Linked DNA regions of Drosophila melanogaster. The protein of the gene in region 1 interacts with the protein of each later gene in a biochemical or structural test. Each region holds a gene or a part of one and is shown on either strand. Other genes may lie near its edges.

Region 1 (5,360 bases):
TAATTTGGTTGAAAGCCCTATGTAATTTGGGTTTCATCCTGCAGGCAGTGAATATTGTAGCGGCAAACTGCCCCAGGCGTGAAATTAACGAACGAACAATTTGTCAGATAGATTTCGAAACAATTTACATTTGACGAAATAAATTGCGCTCTAATTTCATGCTTCAATTTATTAAATATCACATTGTATCAGTTATTTTATAAAATCGCGTTGAACAAGGTCACTTTCCATTTCGACATATCTGTCGGATAAAAAGAAACAATGCATCGAAATATAACTTTGCGTTGGCCGTCCAATTAGTTCACACATATAATCTGTTGATAGATTGAAAGAGAAGAACTACAGTGCAAGGTAATCCCTCAGATACGGGTTTGTCAAATTACATTTTTCGCAACTTTATGGCATTGTTCGTTCCATTTTTTTTTTTTTCTTTTTTCGTCCGTCAAGGATACATTTTCAGCAGTTGGCAAATAGATAAATCCTTCAGGGCCTTGGCTGGAAAAGAGGTCGTCCCACGTACGTAGAGTTAGTAAATAAATAAATGCCAGCTGGGGGTCACCAGGTCGAGTTTGTGTGTGGGTCGTGTCCGGGTCATGTTTGTGTAAATTAGTGGCACAAATAAACACTCGACCAGTAGCTGCAACAGCTGCACGAATGACCATCACGACAGCATCCAGAAAAACACTCGATTGATGGATGGTTGATGTCTGACCAGGGACCAAGTTTAGATAATTGAAAATTCTCGTGATTTGCAGCCAACTGTTATTGAAGCCCGACCACGTGTGCGCAGCTTATGTCTTCCGGGGCGTATGAGAAATTTGATTTGCCAGCCTTCTTGACCCATTCTCGCTTGGCAGCCGACAATCGCAGTGCTCACAATCTGATTTTAAATGCCTGCTGACAGCTCAGTCAGTCAAAGGAGAAGCTTCTTGCCAGCGCAGGTGTGCAAGATGTGTTTGCCCAGCAAATTGAACCTAATGCGGCTCACGGATGGCATTTAAATAAGCCAGCTGCGAAGCTGTGGAGTTCCCCCAAGCCTTTTCCCATCCGCAGAACTGGCAAAACAGGCAAAAACAGGCCCCAAGCTACAGGATACAATGCGAAGACAACTGTCAACATTTAAATAAGATTGATCGATTGGCAGCGTCAACGGCATTGACATTGCCCCCATTGTGGTGGGTGTTGGGCCTAATGCCATCGCCATCGCCATCAGGGGCGTGATGGACTTTACACGCGCTCAGATTTCCATTAAACAGGATGCCCCACGATTACGCTGGATACACTTAAAAGAAAATAATTTGAGAATACCTGTGTCCCATTGCTAAGAGGGCATTTAATCCATATCCATTATTATTATGAATTATATGATTATTCAGAAGCTTTTTATATACGTCATAATAAAAGGGTTTGGTTTAATTTATTTATGTCATACTTTTGACAACCTATCAACTTATATTTAAATCTGCATCTGTGGGTTTATCAGTAAGCAAGCATTTAGCTCGTTTATTAAGCCGCTATAATAAAATATTTCGTGGCTTATCAACGAATACCTGCAACAGTCAGTTTAAATATCATCAGACTAAAGTGATAACCCGGAAATTGAGGTAAAGCCCATATAAAATTCGTATTAAAATGTATTTTTTGATTTTGTTGTAATTTTTCCCACTGCAGACTTTACAATTAGCTTCCCAATTTGAATGCCAGTCACTCATTGAATCCTATTTTTCACTTGCTCTGTGGGCGACAAATTGGTGGCGCTTCCGTTTGGGATTTGCCGCTTGATTCGCTTGTTTACGCTGACCAGCGGGCTGCCTTTTGGCCGGTATTAGAGTGCATAACAAATCACTTAGCACCCGTCCATCAGGGACCTAATCAGGCTCGCATGGGGCCGCTAGCATTTGGCTATATAACTTGCTATCTGCCGCGCTGCTGGCATCAGTTGTCCCGCAAAGCAGTCCCAAAGCGCAACGCGGTTCCATTCGATCGTCCGACTATTAAGTTAATAGTTCCAGCGCTTCCGGAGTGTCCTGTCCTGTCCTGGGAGGTCAGTCGCTCGTAAACGCCAGAAAACACCTAGCAGCGAACACAGTTGGCCCAGTTATGTGTGGTCCTAGTTATTGCACACTGCTGCTAATCGCGGCTTCCTGCTACATCCTTGTTTGCAGTCATGCGAAGTCCTTGCAGGTGAGTCTCGGGCAAAGTGGGAAAAATGTGGTGGTGTTGGTACTGTGGCTTGTTGGCCAAACAAGCGCCACTTAATTAGTGTTATTTGCCCAGGCACAAGTTCGCCAGCTTAGCGTGATAATTTTCAACCAGTGCTGAAATTCTTGGATTTTTGGAACGGAAATTTTGGGGCGAAAAGTTTTCACTTTGACGTGTGCCTTACAGCATTATGTGGCGCACTCGTTTCCCGTCTGTCAACTGCATTTGAAGTGCTACCAATTAGTTTGCAGATACTGCAACTATTTTTTTTTTCTGCCAGCAGGCAATCAATTGGCATCCAATTAACATTTCGGTTGCAATCGCAGCAACACTGCGTATACGTGTTGCGCAACTTATTCTCGCACCACTAATTAAAATAACTTTCCATGCTTGGCAGTGCAGATGTAATAAAACCTAGTAGGCCTTAATTAATCAAAAAGACATAATTATATCAAGTTTATGCATAGTTCATTGGGTTGGGAATTTGTGGTGTTGTATTTGGTTTTAGGTAAATTATATCGTTTGATATCGAATCCGCAAGTGTTTTGTATTAAATTCTGGACATTACAAAATGCTTAGTGTTATTACAATTCAAACTGTAACTATTATTAATTATTTAATTACAAACTTATTCTTTTTCGTTTATTGTCAGGGAATATTATACGAATATGTTTCATAATATTTTTATTTAAACGGGGAAACTAAAAGAAACTAAAGAAATAACCAATAAATTCACGACAGCTACAACATTGCTCTTTTTCATATCAGCTTAGAATATTGCAAAATATATCGACTGTGCTGAGTGTATTCGAAAATGCTGAGCCAAATGAAGGTTTAATATCAAGTATACGCCCACGCAGACATCCGCTTAGAGTGAGCGTTTATTGGCGAATTGCGATTTACAAGCCGATTTCAGGTGTTGGCATTTCAATCTACATTGAGTTGTCTAATCAAGCGGCACACGCTGATCTGCCTTCCATGCCTGGGTGTAAATTGAAACAATAAAGTGCTTGACTCGCACATTCACACTCACATCCATAGACACCCACACGCACACATACAGGCACACCCGCAAGTCGGTTGGAAGGACCTTTATGCGTGTGTGCAGCTCACGTACGAGTATGAGCATAAATAGGCGGCATAAAAATAACTTAACACGTGTCGACAGTTTGGCAGCGTGGGAACCCTCAGTAAAAAAAAACAACATCCTCCAAGGAAATATCTCAAATATTTAGCTCCTTTTTTCGCCTGCTTTTTTGGCCCCTGCTTTTATGGCATTTTTTATTTGTGCAGGGCACGAGCAAACTGGATTTGGGAAATCACATCAGCGCCGGCTCTGCCAGAGGATCATTATCACCAGCTTCACCAGCGTTGAGCGAGGCACGTCAAAAGCGCGCCATGGGCGACTACAAAGAGCTGACAGACATCATTGACGAGCTGGAGGAGAATAGCCTGGCCCAGAAGGCCAGTGCCACCATGCAGGTGGCTGCCATGCCGCCGCAGGGCCAGGAATTCGATTTGGACACCATGCCGCCACTGACCTATTACCTGCTCCTTCAAAAGCTACGACAGCGTAAGTTGCCTATGGACACCTGCTGAAATGTGAAGGATATATGTATGAAGAGGGCAAGTCGCTCTAATTGGTTTCCGAATCACGTTCCCATTTCACGCAACCATCTCCATAATGTTCGCATACTTTATACATAAGCTTTTCCTCATTTTTTGCAGAGAGAAAAACATAATATGAAAATGTTATTTTCATTTAATATGCATGTCGTTTCTTTACTTCACAAGACATTGGCATATTTAAATGAATATTTTATATTCAGAAAAAAAAGAACAATCTCCATACGTAATGACAATACCGTACAAAAGTCCGAGAAATCTGCAATTTTTACTAGAAAAATTCCTTCACAGTGACTTAGGCAATGTTCAATGTTTTTCAAATTGAGTTAACCATTCATTCATTTATGTTATTCAATCATGGAAACTATTACTTATCCAAAGAATGTTGGATACATTTGAACAAAATTGTTTGAAAATTTCGCATTCATTTTTTCCTTATCAAAATGCTTATACATATATTATGAAATACTCTCCCTATTTCCATTTGGACAGTGCAGAGTAATGGGGAGCCCGCTTATCGCGTGCGGACGCCACGCCTTGGCCGCAGCATTGACTCCTGGCGACTACTGGACGCGGAGGGGGCGACGGGAATGGCGGGCGGCGAGGAGGCCATCGGCGGGCAGTTCATGCAGCGCATGGTTAAGAAATCGGTGCCGTTCAAGCCACGCCTGGGCAAACGTGCTCAAGTGTGCGGTGGCGATTGAGTCACGACAAGGGCGCGAGGACATGGCACGGCACGGAATCGGACTGCGGATGGAGGACGGAGGACGAGCCCAGGACAAGGTTGAGGCCAGGCGACTGGCCCTTGAGTTAACATAACCAAGCCATAATGGCCAGCTGAATTCGACGCGACGCAAAAATAATCCACATATATGCATAGTGAATGACTACTCTACTAGTTACTAGCGCTATAACCCTGATTTGAGAGGAACTAATGATGTGTATATACCGTACATATATTTATTATTTATTTAAATAAATTGTGTAGCCCCCAAAAGTAGCGTTGATTTTACATTCCAAATGAGCCGGGAATTAAATAAACATGGCAATTTCATTAACGACCTGCGCTTCCTAGGGTTCTATGTCCACTATACACTATATTGCCATTTTCCAGTTAAATTTATGAGAATTTCATAACCAATGGTAGGGCGCGTAAATTGGAAAAATGCGGCCAACATCCGTTGCCACAAAATCGCCCATGAGTGTTGACCATGGCAACTGCCGTTTGCAGTTGGCCCATGTGTGTGCATTTTGACTGATAAAATATCTTGGTTCCCTTGCCGCGCCCTTTCAAAAACCCAGTGCCACAATTGTGGTCCGGTCAAAAGCTTCTGGCTTTATTTGGCCTGATGAAGCATAGAAAATTGTGCGGGGCTTGCAATGAATGCGGAAACGGAAACATTTTATGAATGCTTTTTCAGTGGAGAACTTTAATTTAAAGTATCCATGTTCTGAGGCTTTTATCAAAAGTAACTACCTCTTTATTTTACTTCCATAAATGCAATAAATAATTCGATGCTGTGCATTGAAAA
Region 2 (7,626 bases), 800 kb from region 1:
GGCCAATCGCGAGAATGGCTTTCATCCACTGTCTAGACTCCAGACCAAAAAGCGAATTTGTGCGCCAGATAAACATCTTAATGGCCAGGGATTATGATGCAGTGCCCGCTTTTTACTGACAGTAATTAGCCAGACGCCCATTGAACCCTCTTCTTGATAATCCCCACTTGATCCACACTCTTTCAAAAAAAAAAAATGTATTCATTAAATGGGAAAAAAATATTTACTGCAAGAGAAATGTTATTAATGGATATTGAAAAACTGACATTAGATAACAGTTTCTATTGGACTGCTAACAAAGTCGGTCAGCTGTTTAAAAAACTGAGATCGCTTTTATATTTAAATTGTATAATAAAACCATTAGGGTATCAACCTTAATATGTATTTATATATCACTGTACTCCAAATACTATTTACGCTTAACTATGTAGATTCATTTTATTTTTATCAAAAGTCCATTCTTTTTTTATTAAACTCCACTTTATAAATGAAACAACGGTCGAATTTTTGAACTGAGTACATAACTACATAGTTTATTCGATTACGTGCACTATAACTATAATTCGAACTATAGCTTTGGGCTATATTACGGTTATTGGTAAGGACAACCATATAATTGACCCCAAACGCGGAATATTTGTCTAAATTAAAACACAAACAAGCTGGAGTGGCGCTTGCTGCTCGTATCACAGTTGTGTGTGTGTGTAATGTACGTAGGTGGCACTGGAATGGACTACCTCGCTTATCGAGTACAGATAGAGGATATGCTGACCCCCTTTAAAAGGCGGCCCGCTCTTCAGTGTCGCCTCCATTCACCGTCGCCCCCTTTTCGTGCGGTTTGTGGCTGCCTTTGCGTCTGGCACGCCAATTGAATTTGGTCCTGAGACCCTTGAACGGGCTTGAGCTCTTGAGCACTTTCACTTTCGCCTTGCGCACTTTGCCACTCGACTCGTCACCGCTCACGCCCCCCGACCCCGCGGCCCCTGTTGTGCTGCCTCCTGCCACGCCCCCCGTCACACCTCCTGGTGGGCGGGTGATGCGCGTAAGTTTAAGGCGTGACCGCGAGATGGCCAAGTCATCTGTGAGCTCGTCAATGGAGCACATCGTGGGCTGGCGCTGCAGTGGCTCCCCGGGAAACTGCAAATCCTCCTCCAAGAGGGAATGGGCATCGCCCACCGATGACAGCTGCGATATTTGCGTCTGGAGCATGCGACGCGGATTATCGAAGAGGTCTTGCCGGCTGCGATTCTGACCCTGCATCTGGACACTGTCCAAGGACACGCGGTTCAGGCGCACCGACTGACCCGTTGTCGTTCCATTGCCACTGCCATTGGCAGAGCCATTTAGCCCAGTGGTGGTCGTCGCCATGGAAGTCATTGTGGTGCGAACGCTGTCCTGCAGGAGGAAATCAAGGAATGGAGGGATAATCAGAAAGGGAAAGTGCAGTCGCCAGACACGAAAATAAGTAACGCAATAAACATCTTATAGTGGTTTTAAAAAGTCTCGTGATTCAAATTTCATTTTGAGAAACAGGACATACACTATATTAATCCTTTTCATTTTCCTCTTAAATAATGCCACATAATAGAATTTAAGTGCATATATCGAATGATAATTATGTAATTTTTCTCAGTGCACTCACCGTTGTGTGCAGCCGCAGTGAACCCGTTTGATTACGTCGAAGAGCGCTGTAAGTATGAGGAAGCCCCCTTCCCTGATTTTTGCCACCAAGTCCAAAGTGTCTAGCCAAAGTTACCTAAAATGGGATTAAATACGTTTTTTAATTCTAGCTTGAAGTTTAAAATCACTAAATTGACCGTTAAAGAATCGATTAATAAACTTGTAACCTGAAGCTTATTTTCAATTTCCTAACGCAAGCTATAGAAATGAATATCCGGCAGCGAAACTCACCTTAAAAGCCTCACGAAACTTGTGGCTCATGATGTTGTAGAGCAGCGGGTTGATGCAAGTTGAGAGGAAGTAGAGAACACCGGACGTATAGTCGAGGATGCTGAACACGTCGTTGAACCACTGGGACTCAATGCCCGAGGTGGATCCATAGACCGCCATCAGCCGCTGGGCGTGAAAGGGGGCCCAGCAGATGAAGAAGGCCACGGCCACCGCCACTGGGAAAGTTGGATAAGGGCGCCTGATGCAACCATGAGTTATTTCGGATATTTCATATCCTGCTTACCCAGCATCCGGATGACTCGCGTTTGGGCGCTTATCCCCCGGTTTACATCGTAACATCGCCTGGGAAGCGCCTGCAGGAGTCGGCTCCGTTTCAACTTCACCCCGATGAGGACATAGAGCACGCAGATGGCCGTCATGGGTCCGCCAAAGAACAGGAAGCCCGACACAGCAAACACATGGGCAAAAAAGTCGTTTTTCATCTACAGCAGGCATTTCACAAAAATAATATATATGTGTATTCGCATGCGATACGATATGGTTTTGGCTTACAGCCACAGCCGGAAGGCAATGGCTGTAAATTTGATTGCCTAAACTGAGTCGAACCTCGTAAGGGATTGTCGCTGTTTTTATCATGCTCTTAAATTTTTTGTAATTCACAAAGGCTCTCTATTCGAACTTTCTATACGGAAAACACATAATGAATCAAAGGATCAAAGGACCGGTTCTACGAATCAATTAACCAGGTAACTCATAACTGGGGGACATACGATTAAGGGTCTCGCATCAATCATACGCACCGTGCACGATGTTCCCATGCCCTGCATCACCACGGAGAACTGAATGGCTTGGGGCAGGGCCAGCAAAAGGGCAGCTATCCAGATGGCAAATATGAACTTTACGGCCCGTGACAACTTGGACATCGTGTGCTGCCTGTATCGAAAGCAGAACCAATTAAGCAAGTTTGGGGCAAAATGGAAATGGGCAGTGGAAGGAATGAAGGTTCCCTTACCTGAACGGATGACAAATGGCAATATATCGTTCGACTGTGAACGCGGTAATGGTTAGAACTGTCGCATTGGCCGCCGTTTCCGAGAGAACGCTCTCCAATATGCAGATGCTGTCACTGAAAGGATAATTATCCGGGTGCCAGAGGTTATAGAGGTCCTGCGGCATTCCTAAGAACATAAATAGCAAAATAGCAAAATATATAGTGTGATTATAAATATTTAATAATAGCTGAAATTATAGCCTATAGCCTCAAAATGCAAATCGATTTGAGCATCTGCCGAATATCTCACTCTACATTTTCTTGTTTATTTACAAATTTTAATTTAATATGCCTCAGTTCCATTTATTGTTTGCACTACTGAACTGAATTAAATTATAATTCAAAAACCATGAACATTTTAGTTTTGCACTCACCTGAGCATAACAAAATCATGTCGGATATAGCGAGGTTAAACAGATAAAAGTTGGTGGCCGTGTGCATAAAGTTGTTCCGCGAAATGACAATGCATGTGATGAGGTTGCCCAAAACGCCGGCGATAAATATGAGGGCGTAGCCCACGCTTAGGGTGGCCAGCAGTGAAAGTGGTGTCATCGGGGTCACCGTGGGCAAAAGCTCCTCCGGCTCCAGGCCCTGGAGAAGGCTGGTCAGGTTGTCCGCGGAGATGTTCAGCACTTGTGTCAGATTTAAGAGAAATTTCTCATTGTGAAACAGTTGTAGATCGGTTGCCAGGACACCGGAACTGTTAGTGGGCAGCATTTTGACTGCCATAGGGTGTGTGTCTTTGTGTGTGTGTATACGCACTATTATTTTCGAATTTCTTTGGAAATTTCAGACTTCTGCGTATGTATTCTCAATCGAAGCTTTCGCTTGCAAATAATGTTTTCATAACGCCCCTTACGGGGGCTCATCAATTTCGACTTAGGCCAGAGCCACTCCACTTGCAATCTGTTGTCATGAGTGTGGGATTAAATTATGTGTACGGATGTGTGTGATAAGGTGGACCCTATGTGCTATTTAAATAAAACTATGTTTTTCAAAATTTGTTAAAATTTAAATAAAATAATACAAGACAAATAACGCATTTTAACGAATTTAGTAATAAAACAAATTCAAACATTAAGGCTTTTTACTCCAGATTTCTAAATTACCATAAATTATACATATACACAATTTGGTTGGTAAGCTGTGCGCTTTGTTTAGCTTGCTAAGGTCCACCTTAGAGAGCCCGTCTTAAAGCGTGTTTGTGTCCTGTGTGTTTACCTGGCATCCTGGGAAACTGGCAGGCGGCAGTCAGGCGTGTCCTAGGCGAAAGACCAGGATCAGGGCGAGTGGAAGCTGAAAATTAATTTGAATTGCTAAGTGGCATTTAGTCAAAATATTTGTGTACACTGGATGAATTTAAGGATGTTGCTACAAGGCTGAGAAGGACAGGCCTGCCGATCCGTCTCCCACCCAACACCAGGTGGCAAACGAATGAAACGAGCCAGAAGCTCAAGGTCAGGTGGTGGATAAGACGGATAAGGAGACGACGATGGCAAATGGACACCGGGTGACTTAATAACATTAACATAGTTTCATTCCATTCAGATGATGAGTGTTTTCGGCTGCTGCTGTTCTGCTCTGTTCTGTTCACATTCTGGCTATACTTTTCGTTATTGTTGCTGCTGACCGCTGTTGACCGTTTTTGGACGTTTTCATTATCATTATCATAAAAAAGTTTCTACAATATATGCACAACCAAAAGAATGCTGTCGAATTAGGTTTTATTATATTGTATATTCGATAAAACTGGTTTTCATTTATTCATTTTTCTGTTTTCGTTTCGTTGTCCGATGATTCCGATGATCGACCGTGTGGCATCCCACCGAAAAAAATTATGCCCATGCACCCGCCCATGTCCATAAAGTGTGAGTTTTGTATTTGGTTTACTATTATTTTCCATATTTTGCGCTTGGCAAGCCGGTTCGCATTGAGGCATAATATGTTATTATAGATTCTGCACCATTAGTGTTTCGGGTCAATGGATTTCACTGGCAATCTGTAGATCTTGAGGCCCCCGATAATGCCTTATTTATTTTCAACTTGTTTACAACTGTTTCGGTGCTCCTGTTCGGAACTTTTCATTCCGCCTAATGGCAATTAATTATATATCTCGACACTCGGCTGGCTATCGTTTGTGCATTTAAAACACGTTTAATTTAAATTTATCAAACGATGCCTGCCACATTTTTCAGAATGCATTTATTTTTTATGGCTTTGAACTGTTTTGATTTTGTCACTCTGCCTTCGCATTTGCGAGCATTGCACTCTCTGTGCTCCCCCCATTCTTTCACTCACTTTCTCTGAGATGTGATTTCGTTTTGTTTTTAAGGTGTTTTATTGCAATATAGCTAATCAGTTTTTTACCATGTGCTAAATGTTGATTAATGACCGCAACGTGTTGGGCTTAATTTGATATACACGCTCACAGAATTAATGGCTTTAACTATTTGCGTATGGCACTGATTAATTCTGGTACGTAAAATGATTCTCCGAATCGTAAAATTATGACTGAGGGGCACGCGTAAATTGATGGTTTTCCCGATATCTCGTTTTATTTCGTCGTCAAATGATCCGAAAACGTAAGAACCGAAAGAGCGACGGCGGCGGCTACAGCAACGGGCCGCAGCATCCGACTGACTGGGTTTTTGGCCAAAATATCTTGGCAACGAAGTCCGTTCGGGCCACGGTCGTTGCCGTTAACAGCGACGCAACAGCGACGTCGGCAGCGAACAACTACCGGTTGCTTTTCGGTTCTCTGCGGCGGCGCGCTGCTGATTTTCGGCCTTATATGAAGGGTCCCCCGGCAAAAGGGTAATAAAAATGCAAATAATTCTGGAGTGCCATGCAGTTTATCTTATTTAGTGGCGTATTAATTTGCCCATGGCGGCAAATTGTTTGATTATTATGTTAACAGAGCCAAAGGACAATGCAATGCCGACCTTGTCGCCCACTTAAAACCCAACTAAACCGACAACCACAATCAATTTAAGTCAAGGCAGCTCGGAAAAGGTGAAGTGGTCGCTCAAAGAATAAGAACAGAAATTTATTATACTGAACCTAATTTTCCGGATTAGAAACGCTCGGTGCCCTTAAGTGAGAAAACGATTTAACGTGGTATTTCTGTAAAATTGAGACTATATACAAATATAACTTTGCTATTTAAAAACTTGGCATATGCATACTATGCATATGTTCCTGCATGAATGCATTTTATTTACATTGCAGCGCACCATAATTGGATGTAACTGCCACTATATGGTGCGATTTTCTCTGCAAAACTTTTATTACTGTAGCGAAAACATCCGAATTGCTTAAAATTAATTTGTGCAACCACTTTGTACGCCGTTGAGCCCCAGACATCAAGTCACGAAATTGGACATGATGCCGTGGTTTTATGATCAGTCAAAGGGAGATTTTATTAGTGCCCCGGGGCCTAACTTTTATGGCTATGTGCGGGAAAATCTATCAAAGCTTTGCGGCTCATAAAATGTGTATTTTCCTATCCCAGCGTTGGTGCGATATATATTAAGAGCAAACAAATATAGCGAATGTATATGAGACGCTTGGAAAATCGAATCGCGAGGCAAACAAATCAAATCCATTGCATGCATTCAATTTCTCAATTTTTATGTAAATAATTCGAAACAATTTTTTGGCACTTAATCAAAACAAAGTCCTAAACAAACAATGAATACTGGTGGTTGTTGGATATAAAATCTAGGGTCGGAGTTGGCATTTCTTTGTCAGGGACCCTACAACATTTTCTACATCGAGTATCTCATGAATTCAAAGGAAGGGAAAACACAGAGCACGTGCTGCAAAGGCATTCCCAGTCAAAACTTTGGCTGCCAATTGTTGACGAAAGCCGAGAAAAATGGCCAAGAAAGTGGAAAATGGGGGAGATTTTCGTTTGCCTTGCTCTTTATGAACATTGGGCATGACATCAGATTCGGGGCGTTTTGTTTGGCATTTTGAAGTTTTGCCTTTTGCCCAGGACTCTGTCATCAGGCGACGGCGGCATCCTCGTCAGCAGTTTGGTTGAATTTTTGTGCAAGTTTCCAATTCATTTAGTTTTATTGCACGCAGAGAGGGCAGGCCAAAAGTCATTTGCAGTTCGACCAACCCGTTGCCGCGCACTGCTTTCCCTAACTTTCACCTAAGTACAGGCAATATAATATAAGAGTTGGGGCTTATATAAATAAAATATGAAACTTGTCTGCCAGGACAAGATAGTGGATATGAGCCCAGACATTTAAAACACTTTGAATTGGCTGATTTTACATTTCTAAAAAGGAAAAAAGGATGGCACAGCAAATATAAAGTTATCTGTCAGTAGAATACAACAACGGTTTTTTTTTTTTTAATTATTATAGTTCTCTTTTTCTTTCATTTCGATTATACCATTTAATTGTTTATATGCCTGTATTTTTTGTTGGCTTACATATTATTAATTAAAGAGTAGCTTTAGTTTTGTTTGCATTATGAATCAGAGTATAAACATTTCTGCAAGTTTCGGCTTTTTTTATTAAGCGGGACCAATTTATTGAACCTTCGCACGCGCTCAACAAGTCGGTGACAAAATTTCATAGCTCGTGGCTAATTGTGACCTTCGATTGGCCAAATGAAGGCAGACTTTCACATGCACTGCAAAGCCTTTCAAA

What was found. The genes of interacting proteins can lie anywhere in the genome.
Region 2: of the proteins of Hug (region 1) and PK2-R2, one has a biochemical effect on the other in vitro, tested with the Drosophila melanogaster proteins (one study listed by BioGRID).

Annotation. Positions count from the first base shown.
Region 1 is NT_033777.3:12,524,256-12,529,615, forward strand, and holds Hug (hugin), read left to right. Parts: upstream 1-1,932; 5' UTR 1,933-2,100; coding exon 2,101-2,184; intron 2,185-3,495; coding exon 3,496-3,775; intron 3,776-4,320; coding exon 4,321-4,532; 3' UTR 4,533-4,821; downstream 4,822-5,360. UniProt on the Drosophila melanogaster protein: Probably has a role in larval molting.
Region 2 is NT_033777.3:13,328,561-13,336,186, forward strand, and holds PK2-R2 (pyrokinin 2 receptor 2), read right to left. Parts: upstream 5,607-7,626; 5' UTR 5,330-5,606; intron 4,279-5,329; 5' UTR 4,184-4,278; exon of another isoform or gene 3,869-4,183; 5' UTR 3,692-3,868; coding exon 3,337-3,691; intron 3,090-3,336; coding exon 2,924-3,089; intron 2,845-2,923; coding exon 2,712-2,844; intron 2,394-2,711; coding exon 2,195-2,393; intron 2,127-2,194; coding exon 1,912-2,126; intron 1,757-1,911; coding exon 1,643-1,756; intron 1,396-1,642; coding exon 778-1,395; 3' UTR 510-777; downstream 1-509.